Linked DNA regions of Struthio camelus. The protein of the gene in region 1 purifies or fractionates together with the protein of each later gene. This does not show direct contact. Links are inferred from orthologs where the notes say so. Each region holds a gene or a part of one and is shown on either strand. Other genes may lie near its edges.

Region 1 (7,936 bases):
CTGCAGTGGCTATAGAGTATATAGGGGCTGGAGAGGGGCACTAGAGGCTGTAGGTGCTACGGGGGCTACAGGGGCTGGAGGGGCTACAGGGGCTGCAGAGACTGCAGAGGGGCTATGGGGGTCACTGGGGCGACAGGGGCTATAGGGGCTGGAGAGGGGCTAGAGGGACTAGAGCAGCTGTAGGGTATATAAGAACTGCAGGGGGCTATAGGGGGCTACAGGGAGTGTAGGGGCTATAGCAGCTGGACAGCGGCTGGAAGGGCCGTAGGGGCTAAAGGGATTATAGGTGCTGGAGGGGCTATTGGGGCTGCAGAGGCTACAGGGGCTATAGGGGCTGGAGTGAGGCTACACGGCCTGCAGGGGCTATAGCAGCTGGAGGGGCTATAGGGGCTGGAGGATCTATAGGGGTTAGAGGGGCTACAGAGGCTCTGGGAGCCAGGGAGGTGCCGCAGGGGAGCTATAGGGGCTGCAGTGGGGCTATAGGGGCTGCAGAGCAGCTCTAGAAGGAAATCGGGGGCTATAAAAGCTGGAGAGGCACTATAGGGGCTGCGGTGCAGCTATAGGGGGCTAGGGAAGCGTCATAAAGGCTGTAGAGGAGCTATAGGGGCTGGAGAGTGGCTATAGAGGGTTATGGGGGGTATAAAAGCTGTAGAGGGGCTATAGTGGCAGGAGAGCGGCTATAGGGGGCTATGGTAGTGTCATAAAGGCTGGAGAGGGGCAATAGGGGTTGGAGAGCAGCTATAGGGGATTGTGGGGGGTTATAAAGGCTGCAGAGGGGCTCTAGGGCCTCCACGGTGGGTTTTAAAGGTTGGGGAGGGGCTATAGGGGGCCATCGGGGGCTATGAAGGCTGGGAAGAGGGTGTAGAGAGCTATGGCGGGGGGAGTCATAACGTTTGAAGAGGCTATAGGGGCTGGGGAGCAGCTATAGAGGCCTGGGGAGGGGGTAATCAAGGGCCAGAGAGGGGCTATAGCGGTCTATAGGGGCTGCAGTGCAGCTACTGGGGGTACAGAGAGGGGCTATAGGGAGCTGCGGAGGCACTGCAGCGGCTGGAGAGCAGCTATAGGGCAGCTACAGCAGGTAGTGAGCGCTATAGGGGGCCGAGGGTGCTGGGGAGAGGTTTATGGGGACTATAGGGGGCTTTGGGGGCTATAGGTGAGGACAGAGACGGGAAGCGGGCTTTGGGGGAGGTTACAAGGGGTGGAACGGCGCTCGAAGCGGTATAGGGTGCTATAGGGGGCACGTGGGGGGCAACAGGGGGTGGCGGAAGGGGCCTAAAGAGGGCTACAGGGGCCTATAGGGTGCAAAGAAGTGAGAGGAGCCATACGGAGGCTGGAAGGCTGCTATAGGGAGCTGGAGGGGCTGTGGGGGCTCAATGGGTCGGAGAGATGCTATAAGGGGGCTATAGGGGGCTGCAGGAGGGGCTAAGAGAGCAGAGAGGGGATTATGGGGGGGCCTATAGGGGCAGAGACTATAGGGAGGGCGAAGGGCCCCTTCCTGTATCTATAGGGAACTGGCAGCACAGACTCGCCCCAAGGGCTGCCACCTTCTTTCCCCGCTGCCAACAATCCTCCGTTAACTCTGGAACCTACTGACAGCTGCAGCCCAGGGCTCAGAGCGCAGGGTCAGCAGACAACCAGCCGCCACCCAGGGGTGGCCCCAGGGCCGACCCCCACCCAAGGGGACCTCCGAGGGCCGACCCCCACCCCGGGGTCCCCCCCCCACCCTGAGGGTCGAGCGTCACAGACCACCCCCCGCCGCCGCCATCACTTTTGTCTCCGTTCAGCCTTTATTAAAGCGATCGACAATCCCGCCGCCCCGTGTCACAAAATAAACCCGAAATTAAAAAAAAATAAGGTGCCCCCCCACCCCAATCACCGGTGGGGCACGAGGGCTCGTCACCGTCAGCACCCAAAGGTGTGGGGGGGGGGGGCACGGCCACCACCCAGCCACCGCTTCGGTCCCCTCCGCGCCCCCCCCTCCTCCCCGAAACCGCCTTCCGCGGGGCGATTCCCGGGGCGGGGGGGGGGGAAGCCAACCCCCCCCCCCCAACCTCCGTGGCGAACGCGCCGGCTCGCGGAGCTCGAGGCGGCGGTTGTCACCCCGGGGGTTGTCACCCGGCGCGGCGGCGCGTTGTGCCGCGAGCTCGAGGCCCCGGCCGGCGGCTCCGCTCACGGCTCCTCCGGGCGCGGGACGGCGGCGGTTTGCGGCGCGGCGTACGGCACCGCCGGCTCCTCGTCCCGGCAGACGACGGTCACGGTGTTGCCGGGCTCCGGCTGTAGGCAGGCCTGGAGGACGAGGAAACGGGGAGGAAACGGGGAGCCGCCGCGGGGCGGAAGAACAGATTCGGGGCTGGGGGGGGGGGGGGTGAAAGCGCTGCGACGGCGGCGAGCCGAGACCGCCGGGCCCAGGACGAGGCGTCCCGGGGTGGGGGGGGGGGTTTGGGGGTCCCGCGGGGGTCCCGGGGGGGTCGCGACGCTCCGCGCCGCCGGTACCTGCAGGGCCGCGGCCGCCGGGGCTGGGCTCGGCCACGGCCTACGCGCGGCCCGCCCGGGGGAAGGGCGGCGCTATAGGGGCTGCAGAGGGGCTATAGGGGAGCTATAGGGGCTGCGGGGGCTATAGGTGCTAGAGAAGGGCTATAGGGGCTACAGGGGCTGGACAAAGGCTATAGGGGAGCTATAGGAGCGATAGGGGCTGGAGAAGAGCTAGAAGGGCTAGAGGGGCTGGAGGGGAGCTATAGGGGCTGGAGAGGAGCTATAGGAGCGATAGGGGCTAGAGCAGCTAGGGGTGCCAGAGAGGAGCTATAGGGGCTCCAGTGACCACAGAGCATATAGGGGCCGGAGGGGAGCTATAGGGGCTGGAGAGGAGCTATAGAAGCGATAGGGACTGGAGAGGGCCTAGAGGGGCCACAGAGGAGCTATAGGGGCTCCAGCGACTACAGAGCACGTAGGGGCCGGAGAGGAGCTATAGGGGCTCCAGTGACCACAGAGCACGTAGGGGCCGGAGAGGAGCTATAGGGGCCGGAGAGGAGCTATAGGGGCTCCAGCGACTACAGAACACGTAGGGGCCAGAGAGGAGCTATAGGGGCTCCAGCGACTACAGAACATGTAGGGACCGGAGAGGAGCTATAGGGGCCAGAGAGGAGCTATAGGGGCTCCAGCGACTACAGAACATGTAGGGGCCAGAGAGGAGCTATAGGGGCTCCAGCGACTACAGAGCACGTAGGGGCCAGAGAGGAGCTATAGGGGCTCCAGCGACTACAGAACACGTAGGGGCCAGAGAGGAGCTATAGGGGCTCCAGCGACTACAGAGCACATAGGGGCCGGAGAGGAGCTATAGGGGCCGGAGAGGAGCTATAGGGGCTCCAGCGACTACAGAGCACGTAGGGGCCAGAGAGGAGCTATAGGGGCTCCAGCGACTACAGAGCACGTAGGGGCCGGAGAGGAGGAGGTCCCGAAATTCGCGGCGGCGCCACCCACCAGCGGCAGGAGCCCGAGCCCGCGCCGGGCGGGGAGGCTGTGGGCGCGCAGCCGCTGCACCAGGCTCTCCATGGCCTCCAGGCGGGCGCAGTGGCGCCGGCGCCGCTGCTGCAGCCCCTTCACCTTCCTCTGCAGCAGCAGCACCAGGCCGACGAGCTGCTCGGTGCTCAGCTCGGCCGCGGAGCCCCCGGCGGCGGCGGGAGGAGGAGGAGGAGGGAGCCGGACGCTCCGGGAAGGAGGCGGCGGCGGCGAGTCGCAGGCGGTCACGGCCGAGTTGGGGGGCTCCGGCGGGGGGTCCGGCGGCATCGCCCCCTCCCCGTGGCTCTGCGGCGCGGGGTCAGCGCGAACCGACGTCCCGAATCTGCGCGAGGGGCCGGAGCTGTCGGTGGGGGAGGGGAGGGGGGAGGCCAAGGCCTCCTCCATCCCGGGGTTCCCCTCCCCCCCCCCCCAGCAGCTCCCCCCCACCACCACCCCGGGGTGCTCTTGGCCCCTCCCCCATCCTGGGGTGCTCCCCACCCCACCCTGGGGGTTCCCCTCCCCCCTACCCCGAGGGGCTTCTGGCTCCTCCCCCTCTTGGCCCCTCCCCCACCCTGGGTGCTCCCCGACCCTTCCCCCACCCTGGGAGTTCCCCTCCCCCACTCCAGGGGGCTCCCGCCCCTCCCCCACCCCGGGGCTCCCCTCCCCCCACCCCGAGGGGCTCCTGGCTCCTCCCCCTCTTGGCCCCTCCCCCACCCTGGGGGGTTCCCCTCCCCCACCCTGGGGTGCTCCCGACCCCTCCCCCACCCTGAGGATTCCCCCCCACCCCGAGGGGCTCCCAGCCCCTCCCCCACCCCGGGGGCCCCTCCCCCACCCCGGGGGGCTCCCAGCCCCTCCCGCTCCCCCCTCCCAGCCCCACGCGACCTCTGCCCGGGCCCAGGACACGGCACCACCCCCCCCACCCACCCCCGCCGCGTGACGTCACGGCGCGGCCCGTGACGTGCCCTGACGTCAGCCCCCGGCCGCCAAGACCCGGAAGCGCCTGCCGGGCGGGGCGGCGGTACCGACTCGCGGAGGGGGGGGCGGCGGCGGCGGCAGGAGGCGGCGGCAGGAGGCGCCGGGCCGGGCCGGGGGCGCTGGGGCAGCTCGGGGCCCGGCACCACTCGGCCACCACCACCGCCGCCGCCGCCGCCCACGTGACGCGCCGCCGCGCTGCGTCAGCGCGCACGCACGCACGCCACGCCCCTTCCCCGGTGCGCATGCGCGCTGCCGCAGGCGGGGAGGGGCGGGGCGCCGCCATAGCAACGCGGCCTGCACGCCGGAGCCGAGGCGGGGCGGGGACATAAACACGGCTTCCCCACCCCCTCCTCCGCAGCGGCGCCGCCTATTGGCCGAGCCCCGCGCTGATTGACAAGGGGGCGGAGCGGGCGGCGCCCCGCTCTCCTATTGGTCGAGCCGCTGAGCGGCGTGGGCGGGGGCCAATGGGGTGGGGACGCCGGCTGGCCGCGCGCAGTTCGGAGCTGCGGCGGGCGGCGGCGGCGGCCCGGAGCCATGGCGGGAGCCGGCGGTCCCGGGCCCGGTCCCGGCCCCGTTCCCGGCCGGGCCGGCACCGACTCGCCGCCTCTCTTCACCCTCCGGCGGCGGTCGCGGCACCAGGGTCCGGAAGACGCGGTGAGGCGAAGGGAAGGGAGGGGGCGGCCGTTGGCGGGGGGCGGGGCCTGTGGGGGGCTTGGGGGCGGGGCCTAGGGGTGTTGGGGCGGGGCTTTGGGGGGAGCGGGGACCCCCCATGGGGCGGGGCTTGGGGGGCCCATAGGGATTGGGGTGGTGGGGGTGGGGCTTGAAAGGGGGCGGGGCTTGGAGGTCCCCGTGGGGATTGTGGTGGGGGAGGGGCTTGGGGGCAAGGCTTGGGGTCCCCATGGGGATTGGGGTGATGGAGGCGGGGCTTGTAGAGGGGGCGGGGCTTGGGGTCCCCATGGGGATTGGGGTGATGGAGGCGGGGCTTGTAGAGGGGGCGGGGCTTGGGGTCCCCATGGGGATTGGAGTGATGGAGGTGGGGCTTGTAGAGGGGGCGGGGCTTGGGGTCCCCATGGGGATTGGGGTGATGGAGGTGGGGCTTGTAGAGGGGGCGGGGCTTGGGGTCCCCATGGGGATTGGGGTGATGGAGGTGGGGCTTGTAGAGGGGGCGGGGCTTGGGGTCCCCATGGGGATTGGGGTGATGGAGGTGGGGCTTGTAGAGGGTGCGGGGCTTGGGGTCCCCATGGGGATTGGGGTGGTGGGGTGGGGCTTGTAGAAGGGGTGGGGCTTCGGGGTCTCCATGGGGATTGGGGTGGAGGGGTGGGGCTTGTAGAGGGGGCGGGGCTTCAGGGTCTCCATGGGGATTGGGGTGGAGGGGCGGGGCTTGTAGAGGGTGTCGGGCTTGGGGTCCCCATGGGGATTGGGGTGGAGGGGCGGGGCTTGTAGAAGGGGTGGGGCTTGGGGGTCTCCATGGGGATTGGGGTGGTGGGGGTGGGGCTTGTAGAGGGGGCGGGGCTTGGGGGTCCCCTTAGTGGGGGGACTAAGGAGTCCCCCTGCATCCTCGTGGCTTTCCCTCGACTTCCGATTTGGGGGATTTTGGGGGTTTTTTCTCCCCCCCCCCCCCAGGTTATGCTCGAGCGAGTGCTGGGAATAACCACCCAAAGCAGCAGCGCGCTGGCCTGCGACCCCACCACCGGGCAGATCGCCTATCCGGCGGGGTAAGCGCTTCTCGTCCCCCTTGGTCCCAAATGATCCGGCAGCCCCCGGCAAACAGCGGGGGGGGGGAAAACCCCTTCGGCTCGCTCTCGCCGAAGCCGGCTTGGTCGAACGGCGTTATTTGCCGTTGCCGCCCGGAAACGCCTTAACTGACCTCAAAACCGCATCCCGGTTTGGTGCCAGCACTAAACCTTTGGCTTCTCCGAGTTTAAAACGCGGCAGGTTGCCGTTTCCTGCAAAAACGCTTTTACGGGAAGGCTTTAAAGCTCTCGGCGGTCTCTCTCGTCCTCCCTTAAAACCCCCTTCGTTCCTCCGAAGCCGCGATCGAGGAAAACGGCTACCGGTACGCCCTCGATCTCTCTTTTGCCTTTGTTTTTTCTTTTCCAGATGCGTCGTTGTCATCTTAAATCCCCGAAAGAACAAACAGAGACACATCCTGAACGCTTCCAGGTCTCGGGGCGACTTTATCTACCCTCAGCCTCCCAGCGGGCTCGGAGGGAGGTTTGGAAAGCGGCGACGTTTGCGTTCAGGTCGCGTCGGGGCAAAGCGCGCTCCTCCGGCGCGCGCCGGGCCGTTTTCTACCTGCTCAAACGGGCTTGGGAAGGCGGACCGCGCTGACGGTTGACTTTTGGGAACCGTATCTGGGTAGCTTAAAGCTTTTTTTTTTTTCTTTTTCTGCTTTAACGTCACGTTCGACGCAAGGAAACGTTAGTTTGCCCTCTGGCGTGGCTCTCTGTAGCCCAGTTCTTAAAAACCCTCATCTTTTTGCAGGAAAACCCTGAGTGCTTTGGCCTTTTCCCCCGACGGGAAGCTTATTGTGACCGGAGAGGTGAGTCTGACTCGTTTGTAATCATGCCGTTTGCCCGTTTTTAATTGCCCAGCGCTGGTAAACATCCCTTACGAGCAGCACAGAGTAGCCAAGAATATTCCTCCAGCTTTTTTTTGTGTGTTTTCCGGCCCGTTTCCAGCCTTGGGCACTGGGGATCCCGGTCAGTCGGCATGATAACGCTGCTCATAGCAGTCAGCTGTGAACTACGCGCCTGGCTAGCGCAGCGGATGGGGAGGAGGGGGATCGAAAACGGGCTGGAAAATGTCAGACAGCCCCTTTTTTTTGGAAGGGGGGGCGGGAGCGGCGCTGGCAAAACGCGAAAGCCTGCTGCCGCCCCGGCTCCTCTCGCAGAACGGGCACCGGCCGGCCGTGCGCGTGTGGGACGTCGAGGAGCGGACGCAGCTCTCCGAGCTGCACGGCCACAAGCACGGCGTGGCCTGCGTGGCTTTCTCGCCCAACGCCAAGTACCTGGTGTCGGTGGGCTACCAGCACGACATGATCGTCAACGTGTGGGACTGGAAGGTGAGCGCCGGAAAGCCGGGAACTTGGCCTCGTCGCCTTCGGTTCGGGCTTCCTCCCTGGAGGCGTTTAAGCGCGCGGGTCGACCCCGGCCAAACTCAGCTCGATTGGCAAATCGCCCGTTAAACCGAGCCGGCTCGCTGCGGCTGAACCGCCTCGTGAACTCTCGCCGAAACACCGCTATCACCCCCTCCCCAAATTGGGGCAGAATAGCCCTTTCCGATCTCTTTGCCTCGTGACGTTCCTGGGGGCGGCTAGAGGCAGCGGCTCGGCAGCAAGATCGCAACGTCGGCCGTTATTATCTTGTCTCGTCGACGAGCCGCTGGGGGCTGTTTGCTTCTTTCTGAGCAGAAGGATTCTCTGGTGGCATCCAACAAGGTGTCCTGTAAGGTCATGGCCGTGTCC
Region 2 (7,122 bases), on another chromosome or scaffold:
GGACAAACAGCCGATATAAAAGTCCCTGTGGTCTTGTTCTGAATGCCTAGAAATGCCCTTTGTTCTGGAATTATTCTTAGAAAGCCAAGTATAGAGGCTTCATTGATAAGGTGCAGCATTAAGCAGCCGCAGTGGAAAGGGAGATCAGGCATCTAAGTACATAATTTAGGAAGACAGGAGTGTGACACAGATAAAAATTAGAAGTATGTTTGGGGGATTTAGGAATTAAACTCTACAACTCAAAGTTACACACACCTATAATCAATATTTCCCTAGTAAAGAAACCAGAGCAACACTTGGCTATGACATAGTTAGAATACGTTACCAGAATCCAGCCCTGAATCTGGCGCAGGGATCCCACTCTCCGATGTTGTCACCATATAAAGCCAAACTCAAGAACTTTTATCTAAATTATATGAAAGCCTTGCCCATGCAAAATTTCAGCTGAGTGACAGTATAAATAAAAAACACCCTATGTTGTATTAATATCAGTGTATAGAAATATGAGGCATTGTGATACCATAAACACTGTCTCTTCATGGTTAAACTACACTTTTCTCCACTAGCAATTTCTGATCAGCTGAGTATGTCTAACTGGTTGTATATACTTGGCTGCCAATTTACTTGGTACACCCTACTGATATAAATGGACTGTTAATGGACTTACACTCAGAAAGACCTTTGCAGGCTCAGCAAAGAAGAGGTTAACAGTGTTAATGCCATTTCAGAGAACACATGGTCTGTTGACTACACAGACAGAAATGTCTCTTTTTCTGAGCTGAAGTATACCTTATGCATGAACATGGCCCCTGTGCTCATGATCAAGGTTATAACCTGTTGCATGGTGCCCCGTGGTGGCTGCTTTCCTTCTGCTACCTTTGCCAAGGCCAGCAACTGTTCAGTTGATTTTGATTACTATTAAAAAAACTTAATCCTAAGTCATGATTATTTGCTAACAGGCAGAACGAACAATAAATCAGCATTTACTGATTAGTGACTGTTTCCAGTTCCACTCAGTGGGGGAATGCAGTTCCCTCCAACTAGTTACTTGACACTGATTTCATCTTGCTCTTAAAGACATAGTTAAATAAAAAATCCAGCTGGTAAAATGTTTCTTTTATTAATTTCCTTTTGATCTACTGGGTTATTAAAATGAAACATTTAAACACCTGCTATATTTATCAACAGTTAGAAGGTGTGATTCTTCATTCATTTTCTTTGTATGCTTTTTTCAGGCTTTAATATGCCAGTTAATTGAATTTTTGGTTGTAACTAGTTTCTAGCAAATGTCCATTTCATTTTCTAGTGTGAAATACAACTTTTGTATTGCAACCAATGGTAAAGATAAACTGTTGAAGTAAAGATATTATCAAACGGTTTTGTTTACTTCACATAAACATTTGTATTACTTATGGAATTTTCTAAAATGTTATAAAGTCTGGGGGTTGTTTCCAAATATAATGCCCTTAGCAAACAATATTTATCAACTTGTTTTTATAACAGGGCGTGGATGTTGATCCTGGCTGTGACTTATCAAGCCTCAGCGTGGAAAAACTGGGCCCCCTGACTCCCCACAATTCTTGTTGATCTCTTCTTGGCCAGATAATTAGTGAGGTGAGGAGATGGTTATGGTTTATTAATTTCCAGAAGGCATCTTTCAGTGCTGAAAGGTAGCTAGGTGTCTATGCAATGATGATATTTATATACATGTCTAAAACAAATAAATGATAGAATTACAGTGACTGCATGTTTGCACAGGTGGTTCAGCCTGGGAAGTTCAGTGAAATGCAATTTTTGTCTTCTATTGAAGATGACTTAAGAAAAGAAATGTTAGAAGGTCCATTCTTGCAGATACATGTTTTTAAATAAGATAACTTAAAAAAAAAAAAAAACTTTTTTCAGAGCATGCTATTTACCTGCCTATCTAAATGTTGTTATCTTACAGTTGCAACACATACCTAGAATATCTTATTTCTCTTCTCAGGAAGAGAAACTTGTCTAAGAATGATTGTAGGCATAATCAGATACTTACTTTTAAACAGCTGTTGTGGTTTAAGAAGGTACCACCCTGTGTCTTCTCACTGCAGCCCCATTCAACTGAAGTACATTCACTTACTTTGTGAATTATCCTAGTCCGTTTTGGTGCAAAAATAATTCATCATTCTTTACTATGGATGTTTTGTGGACAAAAGTGACTACATTATATAGCCTTGGGCTTGATGTTTTGTATTGTAGTTTCTAACTTTTCTTATCTTTTTGGATATCAGTCAGGACGATCCAGAAAAGAGTCTCCACCCGGGCATACTCAATATTTGCACATAGCCATTATGCTTGCAAGAAAATACTTCTGCAAAGCAGTTTTGAAAACAACACTATGGTGATGCTAAATAACATTCTCAAAAAAAAAATTTTTTTTAGGGACTTAGTTTTAAAAAACAGATTATTCACACAATCAGGGAAATTTTGTCCTTATTAAGAGAGGCATTATTTCAATGTCTTAAAATTTTTGCATAGAGCACAGGAACCTTACAGCCTATCGGTAATGTCTTTAATTTTTTAAAGGCGATATACTAGTAAGTAGCAGATTTATGATATCAAATCCTTATTTTCCTTTTATTGTGTTCCTTCATAAAATCTTTAAATATGTAGGAGTCCATGGAACGTGTAATATTAAAATATATAATGCTACTTCATTGTGCTTTGCATCAACACTGGTCTGCTCTTGTTGTGTAATTTCTGCATCATTATTATCTGTTGCTTATCAGCTCTGCATACAAGCTAGCGATAGATGCTGATGGCACATATGGCTGTGAGTGCTAGTTTTAAAAAACTCACTTATAAATACATCTCTGTTAAAGTGTCAACTTTGTAACGTGTAAAATCTCAATGAGAATTTGAACGTCCAGTGAAAAACATATGTGACAAACCTATAGCATAAGCAAAACGCCATTTTAAACTTGCCAGTCTCAGTGAAGTCTTATCTCAAATAGCACGATTAGGAACGATAGCTCCCCAAAAGATTAAGAGTAACATAGGTGATCCTTAAAGCCGCAGGAAGGAATTTGCCTTGCAAATAACTGTGCTGGCTGAACGTGGTGTCACCCCCCCACCCCCCGTTTCTGGCAGCAGAGACGCAGAGCAGCAAAGGTTGCTACCAGAGAGGTCTGCTTGCCAGCAGAAGGAAACACGTGCCTGTGCCACGGTCTGCTTCAGGCAAAATCGGCAGGGCTAGTCTCATCTGCTGATGAAGATGGATATGACCTAACCAGATTAAATTTTTTTGCCTCCAGTGGATTTCAGGGATTTGTATTGCCTTTCCTGCCAGCCTTTGGCACAAATAAACACGGAAGGGAATGCAACACCTGACTGTATTCTCACGTACTCCTACCAGAAAAAGCCTGAAAGCAAAACACGAGTTAATTCAACTCAGAGACTGCCCCATGAAAATAATCAGAGGTGAAGTGGGAGAAACTTGATTTCCTCTCTCTTGGAAAGACGCTTAAGAGCCTGGTGGGATGCAGAGGGGCCTCTCTCCTGGGGTGGAGTCTAAGCGATAGCTTTTCCTGTAGGTATAAAGGAAACGCTGTGTATCTGTCTGCAGGGATCTGTAATGGAACGACTTCTCAGATATGGATTGAAAATACGCTTGCCTAAAATAAATGAGAATTTTAAGGACGTGAGTGCAGAGACCTCACTAAAACAGGCATATGAGTAGTAGGTCAACAGCTTTATGGAAGTGAAGCTCCTAATAGCGCCAGGATAGTGGGCCAAACTGTAATACTCTGAAGCACCACCTTTATGGTGTGAAAATCTAAGCTTGTTACAGCCATGCAGCAGGGTAAAAGCTGTTAGCAGTGACGACCTCACTGTGATCTTGGCATCTTCAAAAACGTGACACTTAAATGTTTAACAAATCGATTAAACGTGGACTGTCTGATTTTGGTGTGCCGGACTGACAGATTTTAATTAAAAACCGGTCAAAGAGCCTTTTTTGTACTGTGCAGCGTAAATATACAAAGGCTTGCTTCAAACGTGTTGATAGGGCTTCAAGGTGCTCAGAGGCCTGGCCTCCTTTTGTCTCTGCGCAGTGACACGGGGCGGGGAACAAACAATGATATACCAAAGAAAACGCAGAAAAACCAAAGAGCGACTGCTTGCGTCAGGCAGCGAGAGCCAAAGACGATGGCGAGGGATGACTCAAAGCCTCGCAACGCAGCACTGAAGACTGAGAGGAAAAATTGCCAGAGCAGCTACGGAACAAAAAAATATGACAACACCCAGTAAGGAGATAAAGCTCGGGCGTGGCAGACGCGGCCCCGGATCCGCGGCGGTGCCAGCGCAGCCCAAGGCGTCTGGGGGCACGAGGAAAACTGCCGCTGGAGCGCGATGGCGGGGTGCGGACGGCATGGAGCTGCGAAACGCGGTTGTTTATGGCAGTGCCGGCAGGAGGGGAGGCGTAATTCGGGACAGGGGCTGCTGCGGGAGGGCGGGCGCGGAGGAGCCCTGGCGATGCCGGCGCTGGCAGCCGGGCGGGCAGCGGGGGCGCCGCAGAGCCCGCGGGCGCGGACAGGCCGCGGCGTGGGCGGGGCCGGCGCAGCCGCAGCCGCGCCGGGCGGGCGGAGCGTGCGCGCGGCCCGGCCCCGGCTCATTACTCAGCGGCCGAGCAGGCGGCGGGAGGCGGCGAGCGGGGCCGAGACGGCGGCGGCGGCGGCGGCCTGGCTGGGGCTGAGGAGGAGGTGGTGGTGGCGGCGACGGCGGCGGCGGGGAGCGGGACTGAGGCGGCGGCGGCCGGGCCGGGCCTCTTTGTTTACGTTTCGGAGCGAGGCCGCGGCGGGGGCGGCGCTCGGCCTGTGGCAGCGGGGGCGCCCCCGGCCCTGAGGCGACGCGGGGCTCTCCAGGCCCGTGTCCGCCGGGGCCGGGCCGGGCCGGGCCGCGCTCGGCGCCCGGCGTCTCCCGGTAACGGGGGGGGCGGGGGGCTCTTTGTTGGCGGCCGGGAGGGGCCGGGGCTCGGCGCGGGCTCCTCCCCCGGGGGCGCGGGGGGCGGCGCGGCGCGGCGCGGCGGCCTGTTGGCCTGCGGGGCCGGGACCGCCCCCCGCGGGAGCGCGGCTCCGCGACCTTGCTGTGGAAGTGCCTCCTCGGGAAGAAACGCTCCTCCGGGACGGCGTGACCGCCCCAAATCCGCAGGGGGGCTGGGGGGCGTCTGGCGGCGCTTCCGATTGTTTTGCCTTTTAATTTCATGTTTCCGGTGAAAGGGGTGAGCTGCCTGCCTGCAGAATTTGTTTTGTCCTTTAGTTGCTCTGTGTCGCTAACAGCGTCTGGCTTTGCTCTCAGAGCCTGTTTCTTTATGTGTCTCTCTGTGGAGTGGTGCCATCGCTGAAGCCTGATCTGGGCATGACTGATAAGCTACAAATATGAACCCCACTCGGTTAATTCTCCCCTAGTTACAGTAACAGATTCAGGTGTGTAGTGTGTTTTTTGAATTTAAGCGCTCTGCAGAACAGGCTTGCTGAAGTCTTTCAGATCATCCAGAAACCCTGCACGCTTTGGCCTGTCTGATAATGTAAATATAGAGGGTATTATACTTCTCGTGGAAGGAAAGTATTAATTGCCCTAGGGCACGTGCATGTAGAGTTTTGCGAGGAGAATTTTGCAAGCTTACATCACAACTCGGTCTTATTTACAGGCATGGAGACACTGACTAGTGGGGGACTCTCAATTTACATGAGTGCTAGCCTTGCTTTTAGAGGTGCAGACAAATATACCCCTAGGATGGGACAGTATTTGAAATGCATCTTACTTTATCTATGTATTTGCAGATATATCAGCATAACCTACAAATGGTTCCAGCTGTAGCCTGAAGACGCACTGGGCCAAATCTAGTTAAAGTCTACTGTCAAAGTGAGTTCACTGACTTATCTGAGCTTTCCTGGGGTATAATGAAGAGGGACTCTTAATTCTTTTAGTAATACCTAAGAAACGTATGTTGAATTTTTAACAGTCCCATGCTTGATCTCGGTCTACGAGGACAGCCATCTTGTCTTTTTTTTCACTTGATTTCAGATTTGTAGCATAGGCTAGTCCCTCTGCCCTCCTCCACCCCCCAAGTGACTGGATGTTCAGTGGTTTTCACATAAACGCCCATTGCTGAGTTCTGCAGAATCTCTACTGCCAGGACAGGGACCAGACAAATTCCAGGTTGATTGTCAGGTACTAACTGCTTTCAAGACAGATAGGGCAAAAGTATGTTAGGAGAAGGGAAAGAGTTTTGGAGTTGTAGAGGATGCACAAAGTTGACTGCACAAAGACATTTTGTCATAACTCTGACAAAGCAATTTTAACTCTGTCTTCTAGTGCAGAATTTCCCTAGCTTTTTGGCTCCAGTGGCTCCTATAAGCAGATGAAGTGTCTTGCTGTTTACCATATACCATATGGAGGCTTCTTGGTCAGAAACATTAAAAAGATGATCCAATACAGTCCTGTGTCCTACTGTTTGGGACTACTCATTCTAGGCAGAAGATGAGCTGTCCTTTGTGTATGGGTTGTTTTCTTGGTTGTTGTCTTTAACTTTTAATGATTCTCTTTAGAGAGCTAGGCCTTTGCTGGCTTTATAGGAGTGCAAGTATAACCTCCTTTGCAAATCCTTTAGATAAGTTGCTGTATCAGCCAATTGTAATGCAAATATTAGCAAATAAATTCCATTGTTGAGACTCCAAAACACTTATTTATTTTCTGCCTGCTACTTACCTGACATGGTTAGTTGTGGTTGTTGCTTGTTCTAATTCTTAAACCATGAGTTAATGGGATAGTATTTGAGATTATAATACTATTTGGTTATTTGTTCACTGTATGTTTGGGTGGTTTTTTTTTTCTTCCTTTCCCAACTACCTAAATCATGTGAGTGCTTGTTGTTTAAAGATGTATAAAAAGTAAGTGTGTAGCCCTTCATTTCTGAGGATTGATCCAATATTCTGGACTAAAACAGATATCCTTCCTGATAATCTGCTGAAAAGTACGGTATGATGTTTCTTAAGCTTCCCTTTTCTTCCCCATGAAAAAAGTTTTCTGTGAGTATGTATATAATGTTCATTGCTGTATCACTTTTTGCAAATTAGGCTAATCTGG
Region 3 (7,224 bases), on another chromosome or scaffold:
ATATCAATTAATGCTGCAGGCATGCTGTCTAAAATTGCAGAATCTGGATTGGAATTATAAGAATTTGTAGAAAAGTCTCAAACTGCATAATTATGCATGAAACATGGGTAAAGAATTAGGTTCGGCAACTCATGAAGTAATAATGATCTTTACTGACATTCGGTAAATCAACTACTGCTAGCGCTAACGACGTGAAGAATGTTTTTCGGGTCAAAGGAGTTAAAAATTGTACACCACTGAGAAACAAAGAGGTTGGCTGAGAAACATAATGGAATCCATGTTACATTCCCCGCACTGGGATTATGTTTGCATATTACCCTATTGATCTCCACCTACTGAGAAGCACTCCTGGATCTATGGAGTTGGTCCTATCTTTATACCGCATGGGAAAAGGCAGAGGTCCACATTTCCCAGAATGGTGCGGAAACTGAAGGGAAACAGCCACCAGAAGCTCAAATGTTCCAAAGTGATTTAAAAACCATAATGGATCCAATGTAAGGGAATCTAGTCAAAAACAGGAAAAATGGAAAGTGGTATGAAGAGAATACATGCATGCCTTCATTTGATATGAGGAGCTTTAATATCACTCTTGCACACAGTTAAACAGGCCAAGATGCAACATCCTTGAGAAAGGCCCTTTGAACTCACAGGAAAGTTAAAGAAGTCATTGACAACATCCAGATAACTTGGTACAAAGACATGCTTCAACTCCATATATCAAAAGGCTACATAACTATGAAGATATGAATATGACACTCCCCTATCACCTCAACAGGTTTTCTAGTTGAGAAAAAGAGAGATTCCCTTGGATCACTCAAAATGCACAACAAAGGACCTAAGAGAAAAGACAATATTCAGACTCTGTTGCAAAATGTAACAAAGAATATTTTCAAAATAAGACTAGTCTGAATAAAGGAATGAACTAAGAAGTCCTTACCAAGCTACTCATACACAGAAAAAAACATTTATATAAAGAAATATTGAGCACCCTGAAATTAGCCTGAATAGGCTTAGAGTCCAAAGGCCTTTGGCTTCCACTGCTGTCAGTCTCTAAGAAAGCCATGAACATCACATCCTGTAGGGGCTCCAGGCAGCAAAACGTAACCGCTGGATGACCATAACTACAAGGACGGATACTGAGCACAGCACGCTGCCTGGGCACTCTGGAACTAAAGGACACCAACAAATCTCCTTATATGAACACGAACAAAGGAAATCTGCCTTTCTCACTGCCTGTATGCAACCCTTTGGACTTACCAGAGATGCAAAAGACCATCATGGACTGGCCTGCAACTAAAATGAAAAGGTAGGTCACCCTCCTAGGCTATCACAGAACAAGAACAACAATTCAGAAGATGTTTCAGTAAAAGCGTATGTATCTCCTTCTGAGATCTGTATAAAAACAAGTAAACAATCCAGAAAAAGTATTCTAGATAATCAGAAGTGCTCTGAAAATAGGCAAAAATCTTGTTAAAACCACACATTTTCAGCACATTACTTACTTCAGCTTGTACTTATGCCTCTAGTAATGCAGGAGAAATGAACAAAAGAAAACAAAAACCCCAAGCGCGGCCTTTCTAAACAAAGCTATCCCTCTATGCATGACAGTACTCTGTAATAAAGCAGAGACATTATGCCACCAGATGATTTTTTTAAGCAGCAATACTGTAGTTGTTCGACTGTAGTTTTTTTTAAAAAACCTGAATAATCAGTCCATCTGGTTTCATCACAGTCTAAAGGAATGGACTCTAATTATATGCAGAGTTTAATCCTCAAAGAATTTGACAGAAAATCAGTCATATCATAGGAACAATAAAAAGTCAGAGCAAAAACCCTTTGCCTCAGTCCAAACTGAGCATTTGAAAATTATCCAGTGGTTTTCCATACTGGCCCACAGAAAAAGGAAATGTGATAAAGTTCAAAGATTAACTGTGCCTATGCATGGCAAGTCATAACTTTTACTCATCATTTTTACATAGCACAAAGGGACTCTACACATTTCAATACATGTTCCAATCTCTGTACTTCTAACTGTTCTATCTGTAGCTTCCAAGCAACATCTGTATGACCCATTTATACTCCTGGAAAAGTAACTAGAGACAATTCTTCAAAGCTGTATCTTCTGGAACAAAGCAAGATCCATCCTCAGTACAAACAACTGATGCTATTTTGAGAGAGTAAGGTGAAGTATTTGCTAAGAATAAAGTATCAAGTGGCTATTAAAAAATATTTCCATTGTTTTATCTTCTTGCAATAATGTTTCCTATATTGCAATTGTTCATGTAATTCACTAGCATCAGAAAACAAATTAGATTTATTTTCATTATCTTTAAATGCTGTTTAATAAAACATGAATTCAGGATGTGTTGATCTGGAACACAATATTTTTAATGCTAAGCAGGGTGGCATATCCACAGATTATCTTTTGGCTTTCTTCAGGATTTGGTTACATACTTTTACCAGTCAGAGGTAGTCTGAAAGCTTGTAACGCTCAGCTGTCATAGCAAAGAGGGGAAAAATGTTCTCTGCATATATAGTGCTTCTTGGATAAGAAGGCAGGTATGAATACAGTTTATGATGTGGGAATGATCACGCTCATAAGAATCATTTTTCTGCCTCTTCTTTATGACTAGAATTTTACACTTCAGTGAAAGCTAAGATCTGTGCACAAATCAAAGAAAAGCACACAAAACAGGCAGCAGCCCCATTAACGCCAAGGTTATGATCAGACAACTACTTCGGCTAGTATTAACTATATTTAAGGTGTGATATCTGACCGTTTACTTTAGCAGTCTGTTGCAACGCAAAATAAACCAAGACTATTTTTGTTGCAGTGGACCAGCAGAGTGCTCATGGTCAAGCAGCACCAGGGGCACTACAACTTGTTAAAGAGAACTAATGCAATCACACATGTAATCACATGACCCTACCTTATAGTTTGCCAGACACTGTATTTTTAGGTTCGTTCTGATTTTTATAGAAGTTCCAACTCCCCAAAGCACTTTTGGGAAGAAGAGAACAACAACAAGCTAGCCAGTCACACTTTAATTGGCTTCAAACTGCAGAAGCTCGAAGCACACGGGCTGTAGGTCTAATTTGGGGTTAAAGCGCACTGATTAAATAAAAGGCGGGGGAAGGGGGGGGATACGAGCACGGCTGACATGTTCTCACAAGTTCGAGTCAGGCCGTTGTACAGATGCGCTTTTACAGGGAAAACAAATTCTCACTCCGATATAATGTTGCTCTAGCCAGAGGTCCGGTTTAAGGAGCACCAGAAGAGCTAACTCGGCTCCTGCCACAAGTACGCCAAGAGCACGGCACGGCGCTGCCCCAGCCGAGCCGGGCCGGGACCCCCCCGCCCTGCCGCGGCGGCCCCCGCTCACCTCGGAGGCGCCTCTGGTACCGCTCCAGGGACTCTTGCAGGGCGGGCTCCCCCCGGGGCGCCCGCATGAGGAGACCCGTCCCTGCCGGACACCGCAGCCGCCGGCGGGGCTCCACTACAGGGGAAGCGCGTGGGAACCACCAGGCGATGCCCCGCCACACCGGCACCCCGCAACGGCGACCGGTAACGGTAGTTCGAGCCGCTCCGCTTTCCCGCGCGCCACAAGCGCCGGAGGCTCCCGGAAGAACTACAACTCCCACAATGCGCAAGGGGGACACGCTCCGCTTCCTCCGCGTTGTCCGTTGCTACCCGCGAACGGCCTCCCCCAGCCAGAGCGGAGCGTAGCAACGGTCGGGCCCCGCCACGCCCCCGAGCTACGCGGCGTGAGGCAAGGCCGTCAGAGAAACTACAAGTCCCAGCAGGCGGCGCGGCGCGCGGTGCTCCCTGGGAGGTGTAGTCTCTGCTGGCCGCCCACCTCCCCCACCCGGCAGCGGGCGGTGGGCAATCTCACACCCTGCTTTCCTCTTTGTTGTGGCTTGCGGCCGCGTTCGCGCCTGCGCACAAGGGCGCTCTTCCGCCTACGTTCTCGGGTCCGCAGTGGCTGGGTATAGCGCAGGTCCAGTCGTGCCAGAGGGGACGGGGCGGGGGGGGGGGGGAAGCTGTGTTTACCTCCCGCCACCGCGTACTCTGGCGCTTGCGCAGTGAGCGCCCGCCAGGCGGCGCGGAGAGTGCAATCACCCTCCTATTGTCTGAAGCTGGCGCAGGCGCAGCTCGGTCGCTGCGCCGCTCGTCCCTTGACGCCTGCGCGCTGGCCTCCCCCCACCCCCCCCCCATTGTGTGCGTTCGGGCGGCGCCTGCGCAGTGCCGTGCCCCGCTCTGCCCGTTAGCCGCTATGTGCAGGGAATAACGTTAGGGCGGTTGCTACAGGGACACCGAGCGGAGCGCCCCGCCCCCGCCCCGCGGGGATGCCGGGTCAGTGAGCACCGGCGGCTGCGGCGGCACCAGGGACGGCCCCTCCCCGTCGCGGCGAGCCTCCGAGAAGGGGTGAGTGGGGAGGGGGGTGCTGCCGCCCTGGCTGCGGGTCGGGTGCGAGCCGTGCCGGAGGGGGGCCGGGGTCGCGCCGCTTGCCCGCCATCCGCCCGCTGCCTATTGTGTCAGGCGCCGCGCCGGGGGGCTGCGCCCGGCCGAAGGGCGGTAGCGGACGGCCCCCCCCTCCTCCTCCTCCCCGTCGTGCCCGCTGCGGTCCCCCACCCCCTCGCCAGCGCGGCGGGGCCGGCGGGGGGCTGCCGCCGCGCCGAGCCCGTAGGGGAGCGGCGCAGATTGGATGCAGATGGTGCCGCCGGATGCCGGTGCCCGCAGCCGCCGGCCCGTTGCCGCCCCGCCGCCGCCGTGGGGCCCGGCCGGCCGCCCCCGCCGCCGGCACACACCCAGCCCACCCGGCCGGCTGCGGGCACCGCGGCTCTTCAGGCTGCCTCCCTCCCTCCCCCGCCGGCGGATTTCCGCGTCTCGAGGAGACCTTTTCAGCTGTTTGTTTGTTCATTTATTTATTTATTTATTCCGGTCACTCCTATTTCAAAAACTGCCCCGTGGCTGGAGAGGGTGTGTTTCTCCAGATTTAAAAATGACCGATAACTGTTCGTTTGACATGCAGTGTTCCCGCCGCCGCCCCCTTGAAATAACGATGTTGGAGCGGGATGATGGAGAAGATCTGTTGGTTTTGCCATCTCTCTTACTGTGTGTTTCCACCCAACAAAGAGGGTCTTTTACGTTCCATAACACTCTCCCGAATGCTCGATCTTTCCATTCTTGAGACTCTTCCCGCAGGAAACGTAGAATAACCTTCCCCCCCCCCCCAATCTCCGCCTCTCCCTGGTGGTGGAAGAAAAGTGCTGGGCTCACTTTTGTCTCTTTGGCCTGGAAACGAACGGGTTACGGATCTAACAAAAACCCGATGGCGGTTTTCAAATATAAAGCGTTTGGTAGAGGAGGAAGCTGGCTTCGGGGCGGCTCGGCGGCGGCGCCCTCCGCCCTGGCCGCCCGCGCACACGCCGCCGCGGCCGGATGCCGCCGGCCCTGCGGGCGGGGGGAAGGAGTAGCCTCCTCCAGATCGCTTTTGGGCGCGTTTGGCGTTCACCGGCAGCAGGCAGAGGTGACCGTGCATCTCTCGCAAGCCCGGCTGGAGAAACGCCAGCTGGATGAAGCGCGGATGATGGCCGTTCGGTGTCATAATTATGTATACGAGCCGGGAGGAGCTCGCGGTGACAAGAGTGTTGATGGTGTTGTGCTAGTTGCCAGCCTTTTAGACGTTATTTTAAACGTTTTTAAGATGAGCCGACAATTACTCCATCTGTTCTTACTGTTTTATGAAAAAATGGAGATGTAGTTGCTGTGCTGATGAATTGAAGATAAGAGTTGCGTTCTTGTGACAACCTAGATAAGAGGTTACAGATAGCACGCGCTGATCAGCCCTTTGAAGAAATTATTTTCTTCTCAGTGAAAGCAAAGGTGTTCATGAAGTATTTGATTTATTTGAAAGAATAAAGCCTGTTCCTGGCGCTATGATGAACCCCCCCCCCCGCCATGGAGTGCTGTTCAAGGCTTTGTGACAGTGAAAAATGGTGTGTGGGACAGGACGATTTTTGTAAACTGAACTAGTATGTGATTAAATATGCTGTGATTTCCTATGATTAATTTCCTCTGGGAATTATTTTCTGTCCAGATGTTGAGGAGTATGTCTTACTGGAACTGAGCTCTGTAGGTATGAAAGATCCTAAACTTTACTTAACAAAGGGCTGAGAGGGAAGGTTGAACATAAATACGTTTAAGAATCTCCCTTCCCTTTTTGATTTTCCAAATACTTTTCAGTTTATATACACGTATTTGTTTTCTTTTCTCTCTGAAAGAGGTCAGGAAGACTGCCTAAATGGAGAGAAAAGAATAGCTGAGTATACACAGAATTTTGTCAAAAGCAAGCCATAAGACTTTTTTTTCCCCTCTAACTTATGAACTATCTAAAAGGCATTTGTAATGAATCGGATAAAAATATTTCCTTTTCTACATTTAGAGAGAAGTATTTTGACATGAAAGTTGTTACTGAACTTACCTTATCTTGGTGCTGCATTTTCTTTGACATCTGTGCCGGCTATCCTGCAGGTGACTCCCTCCTGTATCAAATCAGGCTGGGTTTTGCAAATTAGAATAGGTTCTGTATTGGGCTTCATAAGCTGTAATAGGCCTGGCAGGAAGGTATTTTTTAACAATTCTCTTGATAACATACAGTCCAGAAAAGAGTTGCATTCTTGAAATTGAACTAGAGAAGTCTATGTTTACTTGCAGATGGGAACTAGGAAGCTTCCTTGAGCAACTGGAATAAAGCCTAAACCATGAATAGCTGCAGAAATTGATTTTGAGGTACAATTTCCAGTTCTTGCAAACGCAGGTAAAATGTAATAATGTAAGCTGATATCGTAGTATCTCCTTGAATCTCTACACAAAGACTATTTCCTTGTGGCAGCTGTCCTTCTTAGCTTTGGCAAGCAGAATTAAGTGGAGGTGAAACAGATTATTTTTACTTTGTTATTCAGGAAGCCAAGGATATCTGTGGAAATTTTACTTTTGCTTAAGAAAAACTTAACAGAGGAGACAGGCATTGAATATATTCAAATATCAGAACTTGTAGAAATTCTTGTATTTGCTTCTAACATTTGTGGGGTGTTTTTTTTTTTAACAAAAAAAAAAAACCAACAACAATGGCATGCACTTCCCCCTCTTTGAAGAACTTGGTGTATGATTAGTAAAAACTGGTATGGTAGCGACCAGGAGACTGTTTGGAATTTGAGAAA

What was found. The genes of interacting proteins can lie anywhere in the genome.
Region 2: the proteins of WDR62 (region 1) and MAPK8 purify together in Homo sapiens (affinity purification with mass spectrometry; 5 studies listed by BioGRID and IntAct, counting the BioPlex papers as one, with this or other methods). This does not show direct contact. The link is inferred for Struthio camelus from reciprocal best matches to the Homo sapiens genes WDR62 and MAPK8.
Region 3: the proteins of WDR62 (region 1) and CEP170 purify together in Homo sapiens (affinity purification with mass spectrometry; 3 studies listed by BioGRID and IntAct, with this or other methods). This does not show direct contact. The link is inferred for Struthio camelus from reciprocal best matches to the Homo sapiens genes WDR62 and CEP170.

What each region holds. Positions count from the first base shown.
Region 1 is NC_090957.1:1,836,816-1,844,751, forward strand, and holds the start of WDR62 (WD repeat-containing protein 62), read left to right. Parts: upstream 1-4,919; 5' UTR 4,920-4,934; coding exon 4,935-5,124; intron 5,125-6,093; coding exon 6,094-6,185; intron 6,186-6,389; exon of another isoform or gene 6,390-6,526; intron 6,527-6,570; coding exon 6,571-6,633; intron 6,634-6,726; exon of another isoform or gene 6,727-6,828; intron 6,829-6,954; coding exon 6,955-7,012; intron 7,013-7,301; coding exon 7,302-7,534; intron 7,535-7,882; coding exon 7,883-7,936. Other genes in the region: THAP8 (THAP domain-containing protein 8), read right to left, coding at 2,170-2,286, 3,478-3,838, 4,518-4,714. UniProt on the Homo sapiens protein: Required for cerebral cortical development. Plays a role in neuronal proliferation and migration.
Region 2 is NC_090948.1:21,904,720-21,911,841, reverse strand, and holds the start of MAPK8 (mitogen-activated protein kinase 8), read left to right. Parts: upstream 1-4,122; 5' UTR 4,123-4,280; intron 4,281-4,331; exon of another isoform or gene 4,332-4,394; intron 4,395-4,607; exon of another isoform or gene 4,608-4,739; intron 4,740-4,937; exon of another isoform or gene 4,938-4,956; intron 4,957-5,816; 5' UTR 5,817-5,898; intron 5,899-7,122. UniProt on the Homo sapiens protein: Serine/threonine-protein kinase involved in various processes such as cell proliferation, differentiation, migration, transformation and programmed cell death.
Region 3 is NC_090944.1:98,413,062-98,420,285, reverse strand, and holds the start of CEP170 (centrosomal protein of 170 kDa), read left to right. Parts: upstream 1-4,224; 5' UTR 4,225-4,426; intron 4,427-7,224. Other genes in the region: SDCCAG8 (serologically defined colon cancer antigen 8), read right to left, coding at 3,384-3,450.